Lepisosteus oculatus: one gene and its partners. The protein of the gene in region 2 purifies or fractionates together with the protein of the main gene of each other region. This does not show direct contact. Links are inferred from orthologs where the notes say so. Each region holds a gene or a part of one and is shown on either strand. Other genes may lie near its edges.

Region 1 (7,501 bases), on a different chromosome or scaffold from region 2:
TTCAATGGCATCAAATCATTAATCGGTCAGCTGGATTTTGTATATTTGATATTGTTTCCATCAATGTTCTTTTGAAAGCCTGTCCACCTTTTCTGAGCAGGATTGCAATCATGAAAATCCAAGCTTGCAAGACACTATTTCTTCCTTGGATACAAACGTGGCCATCAAAATGAACTGCTGCCGCAGTTTACAGACATTTTGAATTCCGGATTGTATGAATACAAGCTTTATGCACTGTGCGTCACTTATAAATTAGTCCATTATAGCAGCTCTACATTTCGGCAATAGTATTGTCTAAAGAAAATGTGGATTTGGGGTGACTGGCATCAATCAGGATTAAGACCACTGGTCTGTGATAGGTATTGTCACTTCATTTTAAATTAAAGTTCATTTTGATTGGCTCTTGATTGCATGCAGAAACCATGCCTGTCACACACCCGATCCCTACTTTTAGCTTCTCATCAATAAACAAGGAAATTCAGCCAAATGAAATCTTGTGACCTGTACACCTGCTCTTTGCTCTTGAAGATGGTTTAGTATTTGTAGAACTGGATCTGTATTAGCAGTGCATTACGGTAATGACTTATTTTATTCGGATGGAAACAAGTCACTTGTGAGACGAACTGTCCCATGGTGAAAATTTTCCTTTTTTCTTTTTCCGTTCATCCTTGACCGCAAACTCCATTTCTGCCACTGTGTAATTACCAAGATCTTAAAAAGAGCCTAGCAGAAGCAGTTTCTAGAATTGCAGATGATGCAGAAAGAGTAGTGGGTTTGTAAAGGAGAACCATGTTGATCAGAGAATGAGGGAGTGACTGGAGGAGGGGGGTGTGGTTGTGGAAGGAAGGTTGTCACTGCCTGTGTGTTCTGTGGTGAGAGTTGCCTCTTCCTACAGGATGGTGTAAAAAGACAAATAGTTAAACTGCCTTGGGTGTAAAGAAAAAATGCCTACTTTACGTGATGAAGAACTTGGTGTCATGGGACCCCGAGTGTCAATTAAGCATGCATCAGTAAAGGATGTCTCTTGTTAACAGTGCCTTTTTAAACCAAAACATAATCTGGGGTGTTGGAAAGGGCTGTCCATGCTACTTAACACCAGTGTTACCTTAGTCAAAATCTGAGTGTCCTCAACATCAGGCCCAATTAAAAGCTCTTTCCAGTATATACTGTACCTACCTCTGTCATAATGCTCCCTTCTTTGAAATGATTTTTTTTGTGTGCTCTATATTTTAATGTGGCATCTAGATTTATATCCAATTCCACTGTAAGGAAGTATATTTTTCCCATTATTTGGTATCGGACTTTTAAGCCGAATCTTGTCTTTGTAAGTGACATCAAAATAGAAAATATGACAAAACTGGGCATGTTGGGCCCCTGTAGTGAAGAAAAATTAATAAACTCTTTATTCTCCAGTCTCTTTGCTTTGTCTTGTGCTGTTCCAAACCTGCTTCAGTATGTTACCCCCACTGTTTCTGAAAAATGTAACCCTGTCAACCATAAAACTGGGTAAATCTAAGGGACGTTACATTTAATTCATTATAGTATTTACAATTGCCAAGTCTCTTGACACTTTCAAAATATATTGTACTTGTAAGACAATTTATGTATAAATCACAGCCACATTAGCAGTCACCTAGAAGTTCAAATCCTTAATAAATACAATAATCCCTTGGGACTGACTGCTGAGAAAGTGTTTACACCAAAAGTTTTAATCAAATGCAGGATGGAAGCTACAAATTGGACATATAAAATGCATTGCTTTCATACTGGGGGACACGACCTAATCAAGCACACACTTGGGTGACGTGGTACCTATTCTGCACCAGCAGCCCCACTGCACATTAGATCAGGTAGACATGGAAAGTTGAATCCACTAAGCACAATTTAGAGATGACAATAGAATTTAGTACATTAGTTTAAACATCTACTTGCAAACAGTGGCATGGGATGTTTTCATGACTCAATAGTCAGGACCTCAGTTTCAGGTCTAAAGGACAAGCTCTTCCAGTCTCAAACATCTGTGATAGCGATTGGTAGACAAGGAAACGGGATGTGAATCTGACCACCTACAGCACTATAAAATAAGGTTGGGTGTTCTTGTGGTCCTTGTTAAAATCCAGCAAAGTGGACCTAACAGCTCTGAGTTACAAAGGTGGAACAGGTCACCAAAAAACCTTTGAATCTGTACGGAGACCCGCGACGGCATGTTGGTGAGCACCGATCTATAAAAAGATCGGTGTGTGAGCTGGAGAGTTAAATTGAATGATGTGGCACAAACCTATGATTTGCCAGAGAAAGAATGAAAGACAAAGACCCAGGCCGTAGGAGCGAGCGTTCTTGGGTGTAAAACCATTGGCCGCAGAAGGTCAGAGGTCTGGGTAGAGAAGCTGGAAGATTACAACCTTGTTGATTTATCTACATTACAAAACCATGCTTTAGCAGGAGTTTGGGTAAACAAGTTATGTAAGCCTCAGGAAGCTTGTGTTCTGTGGCTGTTGTGCGGAGGCAGTCATCTCTCCGAGAGACCCTGGGGGTGTGAGCCAGATCAACCACATCTACGGCAGCTGCGGCGAATACAGACGAAGATTTTCCACATCCCCATGAAGGAGTTACCTTCCTCATAGCTACTCTTGTCCTGCAGACTTCACTTGTCTAACTCGGCTCTCCTGTCTGTCCCCCAGGCCTGTCTACACTCTATGGGTGACGGGGCCTTCTCCTGCTCCGCCCCAGAGCTCTGGAACTCCATCCCTAAGGATATCAGAGTCACCTTGCTTGGGGGTCTTTTACATCTAGACTCAAGCCCTTCTTTTTAAAAAGGGTTTTGACTTAACTGGTGTCTGCCCCCTTGCTTTCCTACTGTATTCCATCCCCCCTTCCACTATCTCCTCTCCAACTGTATTGTTTTGTTGTTGGTTCTGTGAAGAACTTGTGGACGAGACACTTTTAAAAGTGTCTATATAAAAATAGTTTATTTGACTTGTATGCTCCAATCAGCGTGCTGCTGCTCTATGTAAGTGCTCTGTCAACGTCTCTTTCTCCCCATGCTCGCGGCTATTTCCTTCTTGCACTTTCCTGGAACTCAAAAAGAAAATCCCAACAAAGGTGAAATCCAGTGATGGCCTATTAGTTAAGTTTGCGGGAAACGTGTGGAGTTACAGCTATAGGCCACAGGACTGTGAAATGAGCACATTTAGCAAATGTGGAAAATGCATCTGAGACCATTGCTGTATGTGCAGCTAGCTGTAAAGACTGTTTCTAGGTGTTTCCATGAAAAACAAAATTTCTATTTTAATAATGAGACGTTCTCTAAACCTGCGTCGACGAACGTAGTTGCTAAGCGACCACTGTTTTTTTGCATTAAATAGCAAGTTATTTCCAAACATTCTACCTAAAGTTATTATTAGACCTAGATTCGATTACTTTGTTGAGCTGGTGCTTTAACGCAGGGCGGTTTGCTTTCCAAGCAGCCAATGAACTGGTCAAAAATGGAGTTTTCTGAGTGGTACAAACTAATTTAACGATCAGACTTTATTACAATCACAAGAAAAGCCATAGAAATATAATTACAATTGTAGAGTGTACTGTAAGTACGTTGTACATTAACTGAAGAAAAGTGAAAATAACAAAACTCGTTTCTGGGAAGATATTCAGACAGTGCTGTACCGTCTGAAAGTGGTGTTTGATGATCCGATAGCAGAGCCAACCTCGTGCTGGCGCTCAAATACTGTTGGTGGAACCCAGTCATTAAATACTGCGTTTTTTAATGCAATAAAATTGTTAAATCTGATTTAATGCTCAGCACAATTATTGGACGTACCGTATCGTGTTGCACTGTCTTGCAACAACCGAGTCTATTAAATCGTTTATCACAAATTCGGTAGTTTTGTTCAAGGGTATGAACGTCCATATAACCCCTTAAATTTATGAGCAATGGATGACGTGATCGTACACAGTGTATGCCACATTAACGAAAAAAGACCAGTCTTTGCATTTATATTGCCTTTAGACAGGATATCTTTAATACGAAATCTCCCTTTTAACGCTCCACACGGAGTAGCACAGTTTAGTAATACTCCGAGACATGTTTACCTGAAACAATATTAGGTAGTCCAAGATTAGTGGTATTAGAGGTCTGTGAAACCACTGCTTGTGATTGAGCAAAGAGCCATAAGACGGTTTTCCAGTAAAAGTATAGTCCCATTGCAGCTATACGGTCAGCTAAAGTCTCAAGTTCGGTATTTTCCTTCGGTGTTTTCCTTACATTTCAAGATCAAAATAAATCAAAATAAAAAAAGGCTTCGACGGTTGTGTATAACTTGAAAAATACGACATTTCCAAAGTTTACATCACGTTTAAGGATAGCGCCCCTTGACACACACACACCACAGTACTGCAGACGTCATCGGTCTTGGTGCAGCTTTGTGCGCATGACGTTGCGCTTCTCTGTGTAGTTGGGTATTTCGTCACGGGTTGGTGTGGGAGTTGGGAGCTCTCTCGAGCTGTGTGTGTTACTGTTTAATTTTCTGGTTCGGTTCGATTTCCGTTTACTTTCAAAGCCAGCGCGCCGCCGGGACGACACGCGTTGAGTACTGGAGAAAAACAGAGAAATAAAACTCGCCGGGGCCGGACTTTCCTGCGGTTTTTTCTTTCCCCACCTCCTTGTAAATCCGCCGGTGCTCTGAGGAGAAATGAGCGTGGAGGCGTACGGGCCGAGCTCACAGACTCTAACCTTCCTGGACACGGAGGAAGCCGAGCTGCTGGGAGCCGATACCCAGGGCTCGGAGTTCGAGTTTACCGACTTCACGCTGCCCAGCCAGACCCAAACGCAAGGACAGACCCAGAGTCAGCTGGACAACCAGGTTCGTGTGCCCGTCACACCATTACAGCTCACATTTTCGCCGAGCAGACCTCCGGCGTGCTGTTACAAAGCTACCCAGCTGAGGTAAAAGTGAAGTAGGCCCGCGTTACTTGCAGAGTCCGGGGACGTTTCCTGACTTGAGTAGCCGGCGTCGAGGAGCCGTTCCGTAGCCGCGGGCTCTCGGTTCGCTCGCTGGAGGTCTCCTTTTTTTTCCGATGGGGGAGAAACCGGTGAGCTGCCACCTTCCCGTCGGAGCACGAAAAACGCGGATTTGGCGAGAGTTTGGGTCGGGCCCGTAGTCTTTACCTGCTTCGTGTCCTCGGCGAGTGAAATTCCTCTGCCCTAGGTACTCGTGTCAGCCGGCAGCATCGCTGAAACTATTCCTACCGCAGCCCGGCAACATTTTTACGAGGAAAATTGAGCCCGAACTGACGTAGCGCGCAGTAAATTCAAAGAAATGGACCTTCACGCCGAAAAGTTGCGTGTGTCGGGTCTGTCTTTTTTGTATCAATGCCGTGTAGTCTAAGGGAGACCAACCCGGAAAAGAGGGGTTTTCGTCGGCGTGAAATCGCTCAGCATTTGTTGGGAGAAATCGCCACCTTGCCTTCACCCGGCCAGCGTGGCGAAGTTCTTAGTAGTTTTTTTTTTAAAGTTCGCCCTTTTTGCACCAAAAACGTGTCACTGAAACTTGCCGTGACGGGTTGATGTGAAACTGATAGTTTGGGAGGAGGTTACGCTAAGGGATAAAATGGTGCTGCACTTCACGGCCTGTCATTTCTACAGTTTTCTCCCCCCCCAGCAAGCGATTAATATCCGATATTAGCGGACAGGTTTGTGTCGTGTTGTGTGCGATCGCGCCCTTTTTATTTCTGTGAAGGTTGTGATGTCCCTTTTATTTCCTGTTGAATTGACCTGAAAGTGAATTCCCAGCAGCTATGACTGACAGAGTTAAGCTGTTTGAACTTGGGCTTTTCGGCAATTTGAATCTGGTTTGTTGGGTTGGCAGCCGTTAAAGAACACCAATTAATCGGGATAAAAAGCTGCTAAAAACTGAAGTATTTGCTGGGGCAGATTCGCCCGCTTTGTTATTAAACTTTCTTGTTTTCCTTGTTTCACATGGTGCCTTACTTGTCAGAATTGATCTTGGGAACAGATTTTATTAACTGATCTCAGATTGGGAGGACCGTACATCCTATATTTTTTTCTTCTAAAATTCCCTTTTTGCAACGTATTGAATGCAGTGTTTAATTTATTGCACTGTATTTTATTGATTGGACTAGTGATGTTAAGGGGATTGGGAGTGAACTTGTAATATATTTATAAAATGTGAGAAAACAGTACTAAAGGAGTATTTTACTTTATGTATGATTTCTGGTTAGGTTAGGGTTGGTCACCTGAAAGCCTTATAATTCTTTTTCATTTCGTAGTCTGTACTGCTTTTCCCAAAGTGTCGTCTTTATTGTCCATTTTTAAAGTCAGATTGCAAGAAACGCTGTTCTCCAACTTGTATGTCTTATAGGTGAATGGCCCTGATGGAGTTTTGCAGAATGGAGCTGTGGATGATGCTGTAGCAAAAACCAGCCAGCTGCTTGCTGAACTGAACTTTGAGGAAGATGAAGAGGACACCTATTACACCAAGGACCTCCCAGCCCACGCCTGCAGGTACAGGACACCAGGGGGATTTGGACTGGGCATGCTTTGCGGTTAATGCCTACTGGTGTCTGTGCAGTTGTTTGTTTTTTATTTGAATATCTTCGTTTCATTATTTTTGAAAAATGTTAAATATGCATGTTTTCTAAAATACTGTTTCTTTTGACTTCTTGTTGGGGATGGTGGTTATGTTGGGTGATTGTGTTGAATTGTAATGCAACACTTATTTCCCCTCGGGGATGAGAGAGTTTGAGAGCCTCTAGTACCGTTTTTCTTCAATACCTCCTACTGCTATGTTTGTTTTGTTGCTACTTGGTGTGTTTTGACAGCGCATGTTGCAGTAGGTGAGAAAACAAAATGTGCTTATCTTGTTAATTTCTATTTTCAAGCTACTGTGGAATTCATGATCCAGCATGTGTGGTCTACTGCAACACCAGTAAGAAATGGTTCTGTAATGGACGTGGGAATACCTCTGGCAGGTGTGTGCAACAGTTAGAAATGAAGTAGTACAGAAAAACAGCATTATTCCTGTTTCAGATTCCCTTTTCATGTTACATTTTAACCTAGTAATATTTTAATGTGAAGGATAAAGTTGGACTATTGTTGTAAATTGCTGAAGAAAGTTTTATTCTTTTGATATAACACAATATACATGTTTTATGGTAGCTGAAATGAAGATGTTCATTTAATTGTGTATAACAGCTGATTCTTGTAGATTGTTTTACTCAAAAATACTCATCAATTATGGTGAGAACAGGATTATAAGAAGATTAAATGTAACAGTGTTCAATTACACTACCAAGTCAGATTCTCTTCTTTTTGAAAGAAAGATATTAAGCTTGCATTTTGAATCTCTTATTCTATTGGTTTGTGTAGCAGTTTCCTGAAGTACAGTTGTTTCAGTAACAGCTGCTGTGCATCTTTTCTTTTTCAGCCACATTGTGAACCACCTTGTCAGGGCGAAATGTAAAGAAGTGACTCTCCATAAGGATG
Region 2 (7,080 bases):
ACACATAAACCACAGCAAAAAGACAAGTTTTGTGCTGGATGGCATCTTCTTCATGTGCACCCTATTCATAACTTCAAATATGGACCTGCATGTTCACTATCAAACTCCTGGCTTCAAAATAGAACCGAACTCAACACTGACCAGGCCATCCACAGCACATAACCAAGGCAATCAGATGATCCAAGGCTTCCTATTCGTCCCCACTCACTCATGTTAATGTTGAAAAGTGCACCAATCTCTCAGTGATTTATGAGAAAAGCACAATGATGAATTTTATGAGACCCTCCCACCCATTTTCTTCATCTGCTGCCTCCAGCTATACTTGTATTATCAATGCCCACGGTCTTCAGAATGAAAAGTTCAACAGTTATTCTAGTCCAGAACATACTTGAGGAAGAAGCAGTTTCTCCAGGAAAATGCAACTTGGCAGGCAGCAAAAACAGACCAAGGAGAGCACCCAACAGGCGAGTGATACACATCACCAGACGGGTGCTGCTCAAGTGAAGGATGCACATTTACAGAAACTACGGATTTCTGCTGTATTGTGCAGTTGGCCCCTGGAGACAACACTGCACTTCATTAAGACAGCTTGTGCTCAAGTGCTAAGGAAGTGAATCCACATTTCCCAGGGGCTAGCATTATCCTTAATAAGAGTGCTAATGTGTTCTAATGCACACTGTGGGGCGCTTTCTAACTTACTCATGGAGCCAACTTTGCAAATCATTTGGAAACTAAGTACCACGAACTACATGAAGAAGGCCGCTCATTCCAGCTAGCAATAAAGTTAATGACGGCAGCCTAAAAACTCTTTTTGATCAAATGCCACCAACGAGAATCCTGTGGCGCATCAGTGCTGTCTACAGCTAATTCACGTGAACGTCCATTTCAAATCCTTCCCTTTTCCCAAAAAGAAAGTCTTCTATACTACAAAAACTTCTCCAACAAATCTGTCTGCATTTTTTTTTCCCTTTTCAACTCACATTCTAGAAAGAGAAATTTGTGACTCTCTCTCTCTCCCCCAGGTCTCTCCACTGCTTCTTGACCTAGTATGAGATAAAGTTAGAAACAGCACAAGAGGGCACTTACAGTTTGAATTTCTGTACAGAAGAAATGGGTCCTGGAGCTGAAACTCTAGGTCTTTGTTAATGGGCTCCACAAGATTTTTCATGTTCAGCCGGTTCATTATCGTAAAGCCATGATATGGAGAAGCTGACCTACAATTAAAAAAAAATACCATTTTCAAATTCTGGAATAACACCTGTTAAAAACCTGGCAACTCACACAAACGAAAAATTCAATTTGGGAAAACTTGAGCTCAGCAACATTAAAACCAGTGCATTTATTCTGCATATAAAGAGCGCTAAGTGGAGTAAGTGTTCTACAGAAGTAACATTTTTAATAATTCAGAGTTAGTGGGCTGTACCTTCCATGTCTTGACTGAGTATATGATGCAAAGCCAACCGTTCACCGAGTTACATGTTGCATTCTGTTTTTGCAGTGAAAGATTGAGAGATTAAGATTTCTCAACAGTGTAAATTGATATTTTTTATCACACTGGCAGTCATTATGCCATAAGTGAATCTTAAAATCTGAAGGTTTGACTTGTAAATGTATACTTCTAAAAATGTTAAATAGTTCTAATACGACTTAAAATTGCCAAAATGTCTATCCAGTGCCAAGTGAATTGTGACCTATCTTTCAGATTTAATTTAAAACTGTGGTCTCTGACTCACTGGTCTACAGCACTGGTTACTGACACCTTCTTCTCTCCTATAGATTTTCAGTCTTAACAGTAGCTTCTGATAAAAACTAATTATTATACTGGAAAAGACAATATGGTTTACATCCATGATGGACACATTTTAAAACAGTGGCCTAACTGTAAATCCTAAGTGCTCTGGAATCTAAAGCAATGAATACAAAATACGTTACTCTGTTTCAATAAGTGTTCATACTAGCTGTTTCTTTCTGCAGATGGGAATATATTGTATTATGTGCTTCACAGCTCCTTCCAGAATTATTACTCTTTACACCTGAATTGTTAATTTTTCCATTACTTCCAAACCGCAAACTACTCTTGACTATTAAACTATGAACGAGACAGCTTTTTGATAAGATATTTTAATAAGATAGTTTGAGATTTTAAAAGATTCTTAATAAATTCATAAATATTGAGGCCTAATCTTGACCAAAACACGTGTACTGGTGACCAGAACCTTGATTGTTTTTTTTTTTTCTGGGATAGGGGAGGAGATCATAGATATAAGAGATACTCGTATCCGACTTCGAATACGTTACCTGGCGTACACAAATAAGGTACCCTCAATGTCGGTTTTCTCCTGGAATATAATACAAAAAGAAAACAATCTTAAAATCTTACTTCAAACTCCTTTTCACCTGTTGGTTCAGTCTAAATTAACATAAATTATGCAACGCCAATTTTAAGAATTCCATCTACAAACACCAGATGTACTAACAAGACTATCCGTATCAGCATTTAAGATACTCATTCACCTTTTTTTTAGATTCAGAATCTCTTTATTCGAAACCGTTCATTAAAAAAACATTTCCGCTGAAGGGAGAGATGTCAGTTTAATATAAAAGTTGGTTTCAATATGTGCTCCATACAGAAACTTCACTGAAACAAGCCTCAGACTCGCCGCTTTCTAAACTATATGTCGAAAAATTTTAATACACCTTACCCATTCGTTTGCTTTGGAGTTAAAGGTATAGAGTGCTACCTGCCCGGTTACATCGATGATTCTATTAATATAAGGGTCATTCTGTTTTAAAGCTGCCAGACTCATATCATGTCCTACTTTACTGATAGCCTCCATCTTGGATTCTAAATCCCCAGTACGAGCATCCTACGGAGGGATTTCTATGAACACTCCCTCCTCGTAGGGCAACAACAGACCTAGAAATAAACGTTCCTACTGTAACAAAGGGCTTTTTCGTTCCGCTTAGTTCACTTTCGAAGGGAAGGGGAAAAGATTATTAGGTCACTATTCAATCGTAAAAGCCGATTTAAGATTTTAGTACTGTTTTATTTTTCTTTCTCATCAGGCTAATCATGATATTTTAGGAACATTATAGAAACACACAGAGATGAGTATCCGACCGAGTAAAAATCGAAATCCTAATACCACTGAAAACACTCATTTCAACCAGAACTAAGCTAATCAACGTCACAAACTCCAAATAATTGCGGACTATACTCTTATGTATTTATTTATTTTCATTAAAAGAAGTTTATATATTTTACCGTTATCTAAATTGTTTAAAATTATTACATTTTGCTGTCTTCAATCTATAATGCTGGATTTATACACACACGTGTAAAATATAAAACCTGATGGTGGCCACAAACTAAATTTAATACAGACGTATGCAGAACATGCTTTTATCTGGTTCGAATGAAAGTGCCTCTAAATCCAATTACAGAGTACAGAAAAAACGCAAGAGGTCCCCGTTTACAAAAGCCTCAGTTTAAACCAGTCCCACGTTGTACATTTTTAATAAGATTATTTGTCTATTAGCCTATCGAGGCTTGTAAGGCGGAGTTAGCGTTGATACTATCCTGTTTTGTGAATGGTAGAAGGCGGGGCTGGCTTTTTTTGCTTGCTACTCTACAAAGTGTGCGTCTTTGAGGTTTAAAATAGACACAGACCAGATTTCTCAACCTTAAATTGCCAATCATGACTCCCCTTTCCAGACTGTAATGGCACCGGTTAAATTGGTTTAATCTGTTCAAGACAGTTCTTAGAATCCCCACATACCTAGGGCATTCTCCCTTGGAGCAGTGCTGCACATACAGCATTAAAATAAACTGTGTGACATCCAAACAATCAGAAGAGGGAAAAAAATCTGACAACACTAAACATAAAATGAGTAAAATAGCCAATTAAACAGAAGTGAGAACAAATGTTCTATCTGGCCGAAGGCTGAAATAGGTCAGTTGCGACACTCCTTGCTTCCCTCAAGAACATTAGAAGGATTAATAATTCAAGGATTATCTCTGAGAAACAATTATCTGCTGCAGACAGGTAATCCAATATCCTGAAACCTTCCACCCAGCAGTGCCATTTCACTTTGTGGTTACACTACGAAATGCGTGACAAACGTATAGCTGAAGTTGTGCGGATGTCCCAAAACGAGAGAAGATGAATGGCTTTATTTGTCGAGCTTCCAAGTCGGTGAGGTAAGGCTACGCTGGTTTTCTGGGGTTTAAATGGTATCGGACTGTAGAAAACAGATGCCACAGGAGCTGCATGTTGGGGAGACAGAAAGAAAAATGCGATAAGAGGTGGTTCTGCATGTTTGGCTTGACAGTAATGTTAAGTCAGCAATATGTCTGCTATTACTTTATTTCAAGTTTTTGTTATATCGCATTTGTATTGTCTGTGTTTAGAGTGTTAACTTGAAACAACATGAAAGAAGTCTGACTCATATTGGAAGTGGTGCTTACTAACTTTAATATAATATTTTAAAATTACTTGTGATACAGTGTATTCTCTGGGTAACATATAATTATGTATAAGTGAAATACTTGTCTAAAGGGAGAGAATTAGTATACTGGTAAGCAACAGATATGGTCACTTTATACTGTTTGTATGGTAGAAGCCACAGTATGACCATTTCCTTTTATCCATTTTTCTTTCGTTTTCTTTAAGTCATGTCCTATATGTGCTTCTGATATGTACAGGTACTTGTTGCCCTTTTCAATATTGAATCTAGAGTTCAGTTTTAAATTGTTTTCCAAAATAATATAATGTAAAATATGCATCATCTGGAATTGAAATATTCTGTTCCGATATTCCCTTAGTATCAGATAAAATATGAAAGACTATATATTCACACATTACATTGTTGCTAGGTTATAGAATTATGCTGAGATATCCTGTTTTATACTGTTAAGTTTAATGGTGTCTGTTTTCATTGATTAGAGGTCATAATAACAGAACAGTAGCAGAATCTGGGGTAATATTACATCTGATTTTAAAATAACGGTTTTGTATAGATTTTGTACATTTTCATATTTGTCATTATCACAGATTTAGTTTTAGTTTTATTGAGCTGTCGTGAAAAAATGTTTTGCTGGACATTTATACATCTTTATTCCAACATACATAATATAACTTGCCTTTAAATTGTAATTGACAATAAAATAATGTACCAGGACCTTTATATTATTGCTTAATATTTGGTTTTAAATGTGTAAGACACTTTTGAGCCAGACATAGTAACAAAGTAATTCTAGGCCTCTTTTACAGCAAGCTATGACACAGGACTATGATTACCAAAGTAAAAGCGCACTGCTGTAGTTAAATTACAGTCCTTGGCACTAAAAAATCAACATTAATGACTTCCTACTATTGAGGACAATTGGAGTACAGCATTAAATACCTTTGGTTTTGTTGTATGATTTCAGTTTTTGGAAGCTTTGCAAAAGGCTACTGTCATCGGGTTTTGGAATATTATTAAGAATGATAGAAATAAAAGCACAAATTCTGACCTATAATTAAGATGAAATGGGATTTTGTAACCAACCTCTAAATTTCAGAACTACTCTCATTCATTGTTTTTAACTTACCAGATTATAAATTAACCACATATTAGCAGCTGTTACGTCAGAAATAAGGGTACGGAAAATTTTCGAGAGACGCTCAAGGTTTGGTGTTCAGAGGTTGCTGGAAACAATACACCTACAGTAGAGTATTTCTGAATCTCAGGACTGAGCGCAGAAACAAATAAACTGAACAACCCAAAAGCAAACAAGCAATCAGATCGATTAAAGGCATCAGTGAATACTGGTGATGGAGAGCTCAACTGGAATGAAAACCAACGGAGTGGTTCCCCCAGGACGAGGGACAGGAACCACTGCTCTAGAATATTCCTGTTAACAACAGTAATATGATCATGCCATGTGAAATCAGATACAATGCTTTTATCCACAGTGTCACCCTAACAAGGATGCTCCCGGGGTAATACTGAATTTATCAAGCTAGGAGACAGAGAAATTAATACATATTTATAGAACATAAGAACAAGAAAGGTTACAAATGATAGATGGCTATTTGATCTGTCTTGCTTGTTTAGTTGATAGTAGCTAATTGAATTCATTCAGCTGTTTCTTGAGCTTCAACAGCTCGACTGAGTAGCTTGTTCCAAACTCCCATGCCTCCTATTCTAAGTTTTAAATGCATTTCCACTTAGTTTTCAGTTGTCCTCTACTGCAGTTCATATCGGAGTATTGATTCTGAAGAAGAGTGGACTTTGTCGATGGCCTTGGGAATTTTCAACCCTTCAGTTAAACTCCTCAGAGACCTTGTAGTCTTCTGCATTTAAGATGAAAGAGATTTGGGGGTTTTTAACCTGTGAGTCTAGGACTTTCCTTGGGCTGAATTAAGAGCAGCAATTGTTTTTTTATGAGGTATAATGATCAAAATTGTACACAATATTATTTACAATATTGTACGTCTCCTTCCTTCTCTATATTGTCTGGAAGATGAATTGGCAACTGAGAAACCAAATCAGGTGAATGGCCCCATTTTTCTTACTGTATGTTCTTGTACTGTATTTCCCATTTTATATTTATAGCTTATGTTTCTGTTACCTGTGTGTAACACTGCGTGCTTGTCTGCATTATATGTCGTCTGCCAGGAGTCTGACCATGAATTTATTTAATTATATGTCTCTAGCTGTAAATGGATTTACAGTGTTTCTTAAAAAAGGATATTCTTAAACCTATAAGATATTAGTCTTATTGTATAGAGTACCAGCATTACATTATCCAAAATTATATTCTACAAAAAGCACCGCGCGGGACATGTATTTTTAAGTTAACAAACTAGCCTCTGAGGGACTTAAACCACATTAGTTTCTTTTATATACTATATAGTAGCCTAAATTGATTTATACGAGTTTTCGGTCTTGTCCAAAATTCTGACATTCTGTATCATAAAAAGACTAAAGCAAAACATTGAACGTCACTCAAACTGAGCATTCACGGACATACCTGCAACACAACGTCCAAAATAAGAGTCTTTTAAAGACCGACCTCTAAGGACCTCGTCTGCG
Region 3 (7,054 bases), on a different chromosome or scaffold from region 2:
AAGGCCGCTGTTCTGCACAAGTATAAAATCTAAAACAGCCCAAAACTTCGGGACTTCCTGTTGCAACGATTTCCTATTCCAGTGCTCCTCCGAGTCGTGTTTTCAGTGCCGATTCCCAGAGGGGTACGACGTTTTTTTTTTCTTCTGCTTCCGAATCTCCAGTCACGGCTCCGCCTGGACCTTCAGCAGAGTCTTCAGGTGAACGGTCATGAGCTCCCGGCTGGGGCCGCTGGCCCGGGGGCCCCTCTCCCCCACCCAATGGCTCGGGGGCTTGGGGAGCACGCTGGGGGAGGGCGGCTCGCTGAACTTGGCGCCGGCGTAGTTCTTCTCGCCATCCCTGAGGGGCTCTTCGGGGCCGGGCTCGGCCGCGCGGACTGCGGCCAGCTTGTGGAAAACGTCACCCGAGTGTAGCGGTTTCTTCCCCTCGCCGCCGCACAGCTCCAGAGGAGGAGACCTGAGGCGGGGGCCGTTCTCCTGCCCCCTCGCTGGGGAGACCTCGCCGAGCGTGCTGGGCCTGGCCCTCTGGCTGCTGCCATTCAGAGGCTGGGCTGGCTGCTCACATTTGTTCAGGTTGTACACAGAGTGGCCGCTGGTAAAGGGGGCTCTGTCGGCTCTTCCTGTTTTTGACTTCAATACCTAAGGGGAATAAATAAGAATAAATGCGCCTTTAGATCGCAACAACTTAAACCCGCGTTTAAGGACGGCTCCTTAGAAAAATGTTTCTCCCATCTCGCAGTACATCGGAGAAACGACCTCGCTGTTTGAACTCTTTGTGTTGTCACTTTCAGTGTCGGTTAAAGAGGTTTTGATGTTCCAGAGAGACAAGACTTTATTGATCCCGAAGGGAAATCGAGGCGTTACAGCAGGCCCAGCCCAAGACAAGCAAAAACAAGACATCAGAATAGACGGAAAATTAAAATACGTACAGTAATACACAATAAATATATAAGTGTTTGCAAAATATGCTCACTGTAAAACAAAACGTGCATAGGTATATTCAGATTGAGTGTCGAAAAAGCACAATAGTGCAACATGCTTTCCATGTTATCCGATACTTCAATCACAAACTACAAAGGAATCTGCGTTTTTTGTTTACAGTAGTGATTCTAGACGTTATGTAATTTCTACAATAGGTAACCGAAGAACATTCAGGGGTAATTTCCAACTTCATCCCGCTGCTGGGCAGGTCAAGCTTATATCGCAAGAAAAATAAATCCAGTAATGACGTTTAAACAACAAGGCGGTTATTAGGCTATGTCATCCGGTTTCGGGGTTATTATTATTACATAATAACCCGACCGCCTTGGCACAGCGCCATCAGAAAACTGTTGAGGATCCTTCATCAACCTCGGCTCAAACTGCACGTTCGCACCTGGCACAACCTAACCCACTACCGCCCGCCCCCGCAGGCTCGCGGCTCCTCATTACTTATTCATATTGCCGAGGACCGCCGCGCTGATTGGCTGATCTGAGAACCGCCGTCATATTTTCCAGCGGTGGGTCAACCAAACTCGTTTGATTTCCGCCGAATTGGAACAGCGGTAGCGGGCAGCTAACCCAGCGCACCACATAATGGGCAATGTATACAAAACAAACGCTGGGGACCCACAGCCCTTAATGAAGTGTCGTCACCTCAACGACCACAATATTTACGCATGGATGCGTTACTAAACTATTCTAAACAAATAAAACGTGAAATGTTCACTTCCGTTATTGGTATACATCAAGCGAATTACATCAGGTAGCAAAACAAGCTGTTGCCCCCCACCACCTTTGACACCGATGACACGGTTCCTGGGACCCTCTACAACAGTAATATCGCCACCCGTTGTTCTCGTCTTTATCACGCACCCGGTGATGTTTCACAAACGAGAACTATATCGACATCTTACCTCCTTTTTGGCCCCTTGCTTGAGGTGGTGGAGTGTAATTGCAGTAGCAGCCTGCGCTCGGTTGGCGACAGCCTCAGTCTTTTTGATGCCAGCCCCGGGGCTGCTGCTGCTGTTGTTGTTGATGTCTGTGAAGCGTGTGGTGCCATTTCGGAGCAGAGCCGGGTGTTTCTGGCCCTGCTGCTGCTGCTGGTGGTGGTGGTGGTGAAGGAGGTGGTAATGGTGTCGGTTCTGCAAGCCCGTGGAGGCTGAGCGCACTCGCCTCCCCCCTTTCTTCAGCAGCGCCTGCCTTTTGTTCAGGTTCGACCCGACGGGGGTGGGCTTGCTGTTCTCGATGTTATCGAGTTTAGACTCGATGTGGTGGCTGAGAGTTTCCCCGAGCATGATCTGAAAGTCGCACGAAGGAGGATACATCGGCTACCTGGAGCGGCAAAAAAAAAAACTTTCCTTTCAAAACAGCTCCGACTCCTTGTCAATGAGCCCATATACTTGCTCCGCACGGCCGTTTCCTCACTCTTTGTTGAGTCCAACCTGCTCGCTTGCTAAACAAGTCAAGTAAAGCTGTACCTGGAGCCTCGGCCTTTGTTTATCTTCCGATTCCGAAAATCTTTTCTTTCCGAAAAAATTGTTTTTTCTCTTGCCAAAAAGTCCCCTTTAAAGAGATGGCGCAGGATACAGAGTAAACGAAAATGGCGGAGCAGGAAGATTCACTTCCTTATTGTAAACAAAAAATCCGAGAACACGCCAACGACTCCGCGCAAAGAGAAACAAGATTAAAAAGCAAACGAGTGCTACTTTCGCCGATCTACCCTTTTGCGTGGATTTTAACATCTGTATTCTGAAACCTGAAAACTTAATGCGCTACGTTTCGTAAACAACGTCAAGACCACGACGCAAATTTGAGTTAGATGTGTTAGGTCGAGCTGCTCGGTGTCGATCAAGACGCTGCCCTTTGTCTAAAATGTTCTCAGAAATTCAAACTTTATGCTTTTCAAGGCCGTCTCCCACTATGTTGCTTAATGATTTTACCAACACAAACCCCGTCCGCACCTCCTCTATAAAAGCAACACAATGCAGGCTAAAACAAACACGGGAACGCCTCGAAGGTATTAACTACAACTGCTACGCCAATCGCCCGTTTCTATTCCTGCCACTGGGACCTCCTTTTTAAGAGACGTCATATACGCAACATCTCAATCTCATTTGCTCGTTGTACCAGGGACTTTCCGAAACTGGGAGTTTTGAGGAAGTTATTAAAACTTCGACCGGTTGCCTTACGTAGTGGAAACTGCTTAATGATGCAATGTACAGTAATTCAGCGTGACGCGCTGCAAAGGAATTCACAGTGTAAAGTCGGTCTTTATATACAAGTATGTAATGCATATATGTTTAATATTTTTCATATATATATATTATCAGCGATGTGAAGCCCTGTAATCTGGTCATTTGTAACCGACTTAATTAAAATTAAATTAAAATTCTATGAAAACGTGGATTGTTTCTGATGACTGTTCTTTGGTAACGCTCTATAAAACATTTATAAATCTCATTTTCATAATATGAAATACTGTACAGAAAATATTTAGCTCATTTAGTGTTGTAGCTTAACACTTATTGTGCATATACAATTTCTCACTCGCTAATACAGGCTAAATTGTATTAGCGAAACAACAAGTTCAGTTGTTTAGTGAGCTACAAAAACTACGGACATCCCTACGTTTATACAGTATATATATGGTATTCCTTATCAACTTTATCAATTCCTTCTTATTTAGGTCAATTGTATTGGAAAGTTTTATATGATGTAATTTACAGACTTTTACAGGAATATTTCAAGAGAATATTCCTGTAAATACTACTGCTAGTGATGCTTCATATTCTACTCCTAATACTCATAACCAGGGTAAGTGGTACAGTATTTTACCCTAAAACCTTTTGATTTAAATATAGCTTACAAGAGCAGGACTTGGCCACTGTTTGAGATGTAACCGTGCTGTACTGTAACCCAAGGATTATTTGAGTGCTGACATAGTATATATAAATAATTACTGTAATTTAAATATTTTGGTATAATTAAAAGACAATCAGAGTAATTCAGTCAAATAATTATTTAACTGATGTTGTTAACGAAAGCAACTTCCATGTGTATCATTTTATACAGCTCGGCTTTCTACCATAGAAGTATGAGCGAACAGCAGTGCTCCATCGAAAATGTGAACCCATAGTCTTTCAACTCAATTACACAGATCCAACTACTACAAAGTGAATTTGATGAGAAAAAATATTCAAACAATCTACATTAAATAGCCATACAAATTCTAGAATAAAGGAATTATTACAACATAGAGAATGAAGAGTAGAAGTGAGAGTCATTCCTGGAATTTCTTTGTGCAGTCATGTTTCATGCAGGAAGAAAGAAAGTTGCACTTAACTGTGGGTATTTCCCAATGTGCACTTAAATTGATCAAAAACTGTCCATAATCCTCTACTGTGAATTCACTTCATCCTCATGGAAAAGGATTTTCCAATAACAAAATGAAACCAACAGCTCTTGAATTGTATTTGTAATGGGTTTTTTTTCCATTTCCCTTCCTGTTCACACTGAACAATTGAACAATAGATTCACAAACCAAATAATTGTGTACAACTCATAGAAAAAAACACTAATTGGATTAGCCAGGGCATGGGGCAAAAGAGTTCAGCTATTCAGTTTTAATGCTCACATGCTGCATTCAAAAAGAATGTCCTGCAAAATACTTTGCATCCTCTCGTGTTTGTGTCCTGCGAAATTATTCACTTATTTTCCAATGATGTCCTATTTTACTGAAATGCAAGCGATGCACGCACTATTTCAATCAAAACTTTTAATGGGTGAAAGAAATGAAATGTATACAAAAACTGAAAGGAAAAACTATAATGTTTTTGGTTTTCACCCCTTTGCTATGTCAAACAGAAATTAGTTCAGCTGTACAAAAAATACTTTAACACGTTATGAAATTAGTTGCTTGGCCCCTGTTTACAATAATCTCATTCAGCTGGTTTCAGAATAAATACGCTTCAAAGTATTCAATTTCTTTAAAGCAGATATGGGTAGAACAAGAACTAGTGTATTTCTAAGCTTTCAGAAGGCATTTGATAAAATTCTACAGAAAAATAATTCTCAAATTGCAAGTGGTGGATAATCAAATTAAAGTATCTTTGAATTGAGAATTGGTTAATGCATATAAAACAGAAAGCAAAGGTGTGTTTAAAACTGGGGAGTTGTAGGTGGTGGTATACCACACAGGAGCTATATGAAAACCACTACTCTTATTAATTTATATAAAAAAATCTAGATTGTGGTAAAGTAAGTTAAGTTCAGAAGTTATACTAGAGCTGGAAGATTAACACAAATTAAGACTAAGAAATCACATGGTGAAGCAGAGAATAAAATAAGGGGAACTTATTCAGTAATCAAAATACTAGGGACTATTTCCAACTCAACAACACAAACCAGAGCACTCAGATGGAGCTGTGCAAGGGAGTATATTTTACTGAGAACAGGAGGCATTTCTTCACACAAAGCGTTGACTGCCTATGGGTAGTGGACAGCAAATGCAAACAATGTAAACACACATAATAGGGCATTGTGTGGCACATATGGACCACAGCACAGAGTCTGCGGGTATTTGGAATTCTGCAGGAGGGATGTGGCAACTCATCTCAACTATCAGACAACTCATGCCTGGTTAATGGATGTAGAAAGCAAGCAGGTACTCCAGAGTATCTCATAAACACCTCAGTGGGTTCAGGGCTGGTAACTGAGAAGGCCAGTCCAGTATCCATATGGATAACTGTCATGCGCAAACCACCGGGTGACCACAGGAGCTCTGTGGAGAGGAGCTGCATCATCCAGGAACAACCCTGATGGCAGGAGAGAAATGGGTTGAAGATGGTCACTCAAACCCATTAAGAAGCTATGGGCATTGACCGAGTGAATGTGGAATGAGTCTGCCCAAATACCAACAAATGAACCCCGCAATCCCACAGAACCATCAGTACCCTTCACAGCTGGGATCAGGCACTCTCAGCAATAGAGTTCAAGTCAGCACTCATCCATTTACTGAGAAAGCAGTGAAAGATGAATCATCTGATCACATGCCTCCATGATTATGCAGTGCACTCTTTACACCAGTGGACTTGCAAACATGCACTGTCAGGTGCAACAAGCAGTTTGTGCATTGCAGCCCGATGATGTCCTGCTCTGTGGAGCCATCACCAGCCCGTTTAATTAAAGTTTGATCTCCAGTTGCTCGACTGTTTTGCCCTGAGCTTCAAACAAATGCACAGATTTCACAATCCTGGAGTAGGGCCCTCCCGTTCCACTGTTCCACCCAGCTTTCCCGCAGAAGTTCATGTCGACATCACCTCCAACACAGTTACTCATGAAACCTCAGGAAATTGAGCCATCTTGGTCCCTGAAGCTCTTACCAAACACGTCCCAAGAAGCACCCGCTCTCTCAAAGTCACTGAGATCTCCTCTTTCAGCCATGCTAGTTCTGACCTGTCCAGAACTTTTATTCTTGACCCTAAACATGCTGGAATGTCATTCGCTGGATTAATGCATGAGCCACACCTGTGTAGAAGCTTTCAATCTGCTTGATGTTTCTCCTTTACCCAGATGTTTCCATTTTTTGCCAGGTGCCTGCAGCCAAAGCTGAAGTCTCCTCAGCTGCCCAGTAGACACTACCCTACAGGGTTCCAAGTGCTAGAGCCCACACATTCTGTCAGCTAGCACACAGAGAATAGTTTCAGAACATCACCAGCAACAATCGGCATCAATTACACCACTACTGAATATCAGGCACGCTCTTATGCAAATAGACCTTTCAGTTCTATTTCGTCATCCTCTTGTAGGGTACTACTTCCCTGCTACAATATTAGCTAATGTCGTAAAGCAGTGTGAATCCCAATGCCTCTTCAAGTTTAATGTAAACCGCTTTATGGAGTATCTTCAAGATCTAACTGCCCTTCAAATTAGGTTTTTGGACGATCCAAAGTGTTGCGTTATGCAGTAGTATTTGGATGTATGAAAGACCACAATTTGTGTGGTACACTGTTTTTCAGACAAATACTATATTAATAGATGTACAGTATATTGTAGTCCTTTTAAAGTGCTTGTGTGT

What was found. Proteins that work in one complex are often made in the same cells at the same time.
Region 1: the proteins of dcp1a (region 2) and upf1 purify together in Homo sapiens (co-immunoprecipitation; 4 studies listed by BioGRID and IntAct, with this or other methods). This does not show direct contact. The link is inferred for Lepisosteus oculatus from reciprocal best matches to the Homo sapiens genes DCP1A and UPF1.
Region 3: the proteins of dcp1a (region 2) and pnrc1 purify together in Homo sapiens (affinity purification with mass spectrometry; 3 studies listed by BioGRID and IntAct, with this or other methods). This does not show direct contact. The link is inferred for Lepisosteus oculatus from reciprocal best matches to the Homo sapiens genes DCP1A and PNRC1.

Annotation. Positions count from the first base shown.
Region 1 is NC_090724.1:3,883,889-3,891,389, forward strand, and holds the start of upf1 (regulator of nonsense transcripts 1), read left to right. Parts: upstream 1-4,438; 5' UTR 4,439-4,688; coding exon 4,689-4,859; intron 4,860-6,377; coding exon 6,378-6,520; intron 6,521-6,897; coding exon 6,898-6,987; intron 6,988-7,442; coding exon 7,443-7,501. UniProt on the Homo sapiens protein: RNA-dependent helicase required for nonsense-mediated decay (NMD) of aberrant mRNAs containing premature stop codons and modulates the expression level of normal mRNAs.
Region 2 is NC_090699.1:63,508,469-63,515,548, forward strand, and holds the start of dcp1a (mRNA-decapping enzyme 1A), read right to left. Parts: upstream 3,026-7,080; 5' UTR 2,838-3,025; coding exon 2,703-2,837; intron 2,340-2,702; coding exon 2,299-2,339; intron 1,215-2,298; coding exon 1,087-1,214; intron 1-1,086. UniProt on the Homo sapiens protein: Necessary for the degradation of mRNAs, both in normal mRNA turnover and in nonsense-mediated mRNA decay. Removes the 7-methyl guanine cap structure from mRNA molecules, yielding a 5'-phosphorylated mRNA fragment and 7m-GDP.
Region 3 is NC_090697.1:8,017,672-8,024,725, forward strand, and holds the start of pnrc1 (proline-rich nuclear receptor coactivator 1), read right to left. Parts: upstream 3,064-7,054; 5' UTR 2,304-3,063; coding exon 1,893-2,303; intron 637-1,892; coding exon 163-636; 3' UTR 1-162. UniProt on the Homo sapiens protein: Nuclear receptor coactivator. May play a role in signal transduction.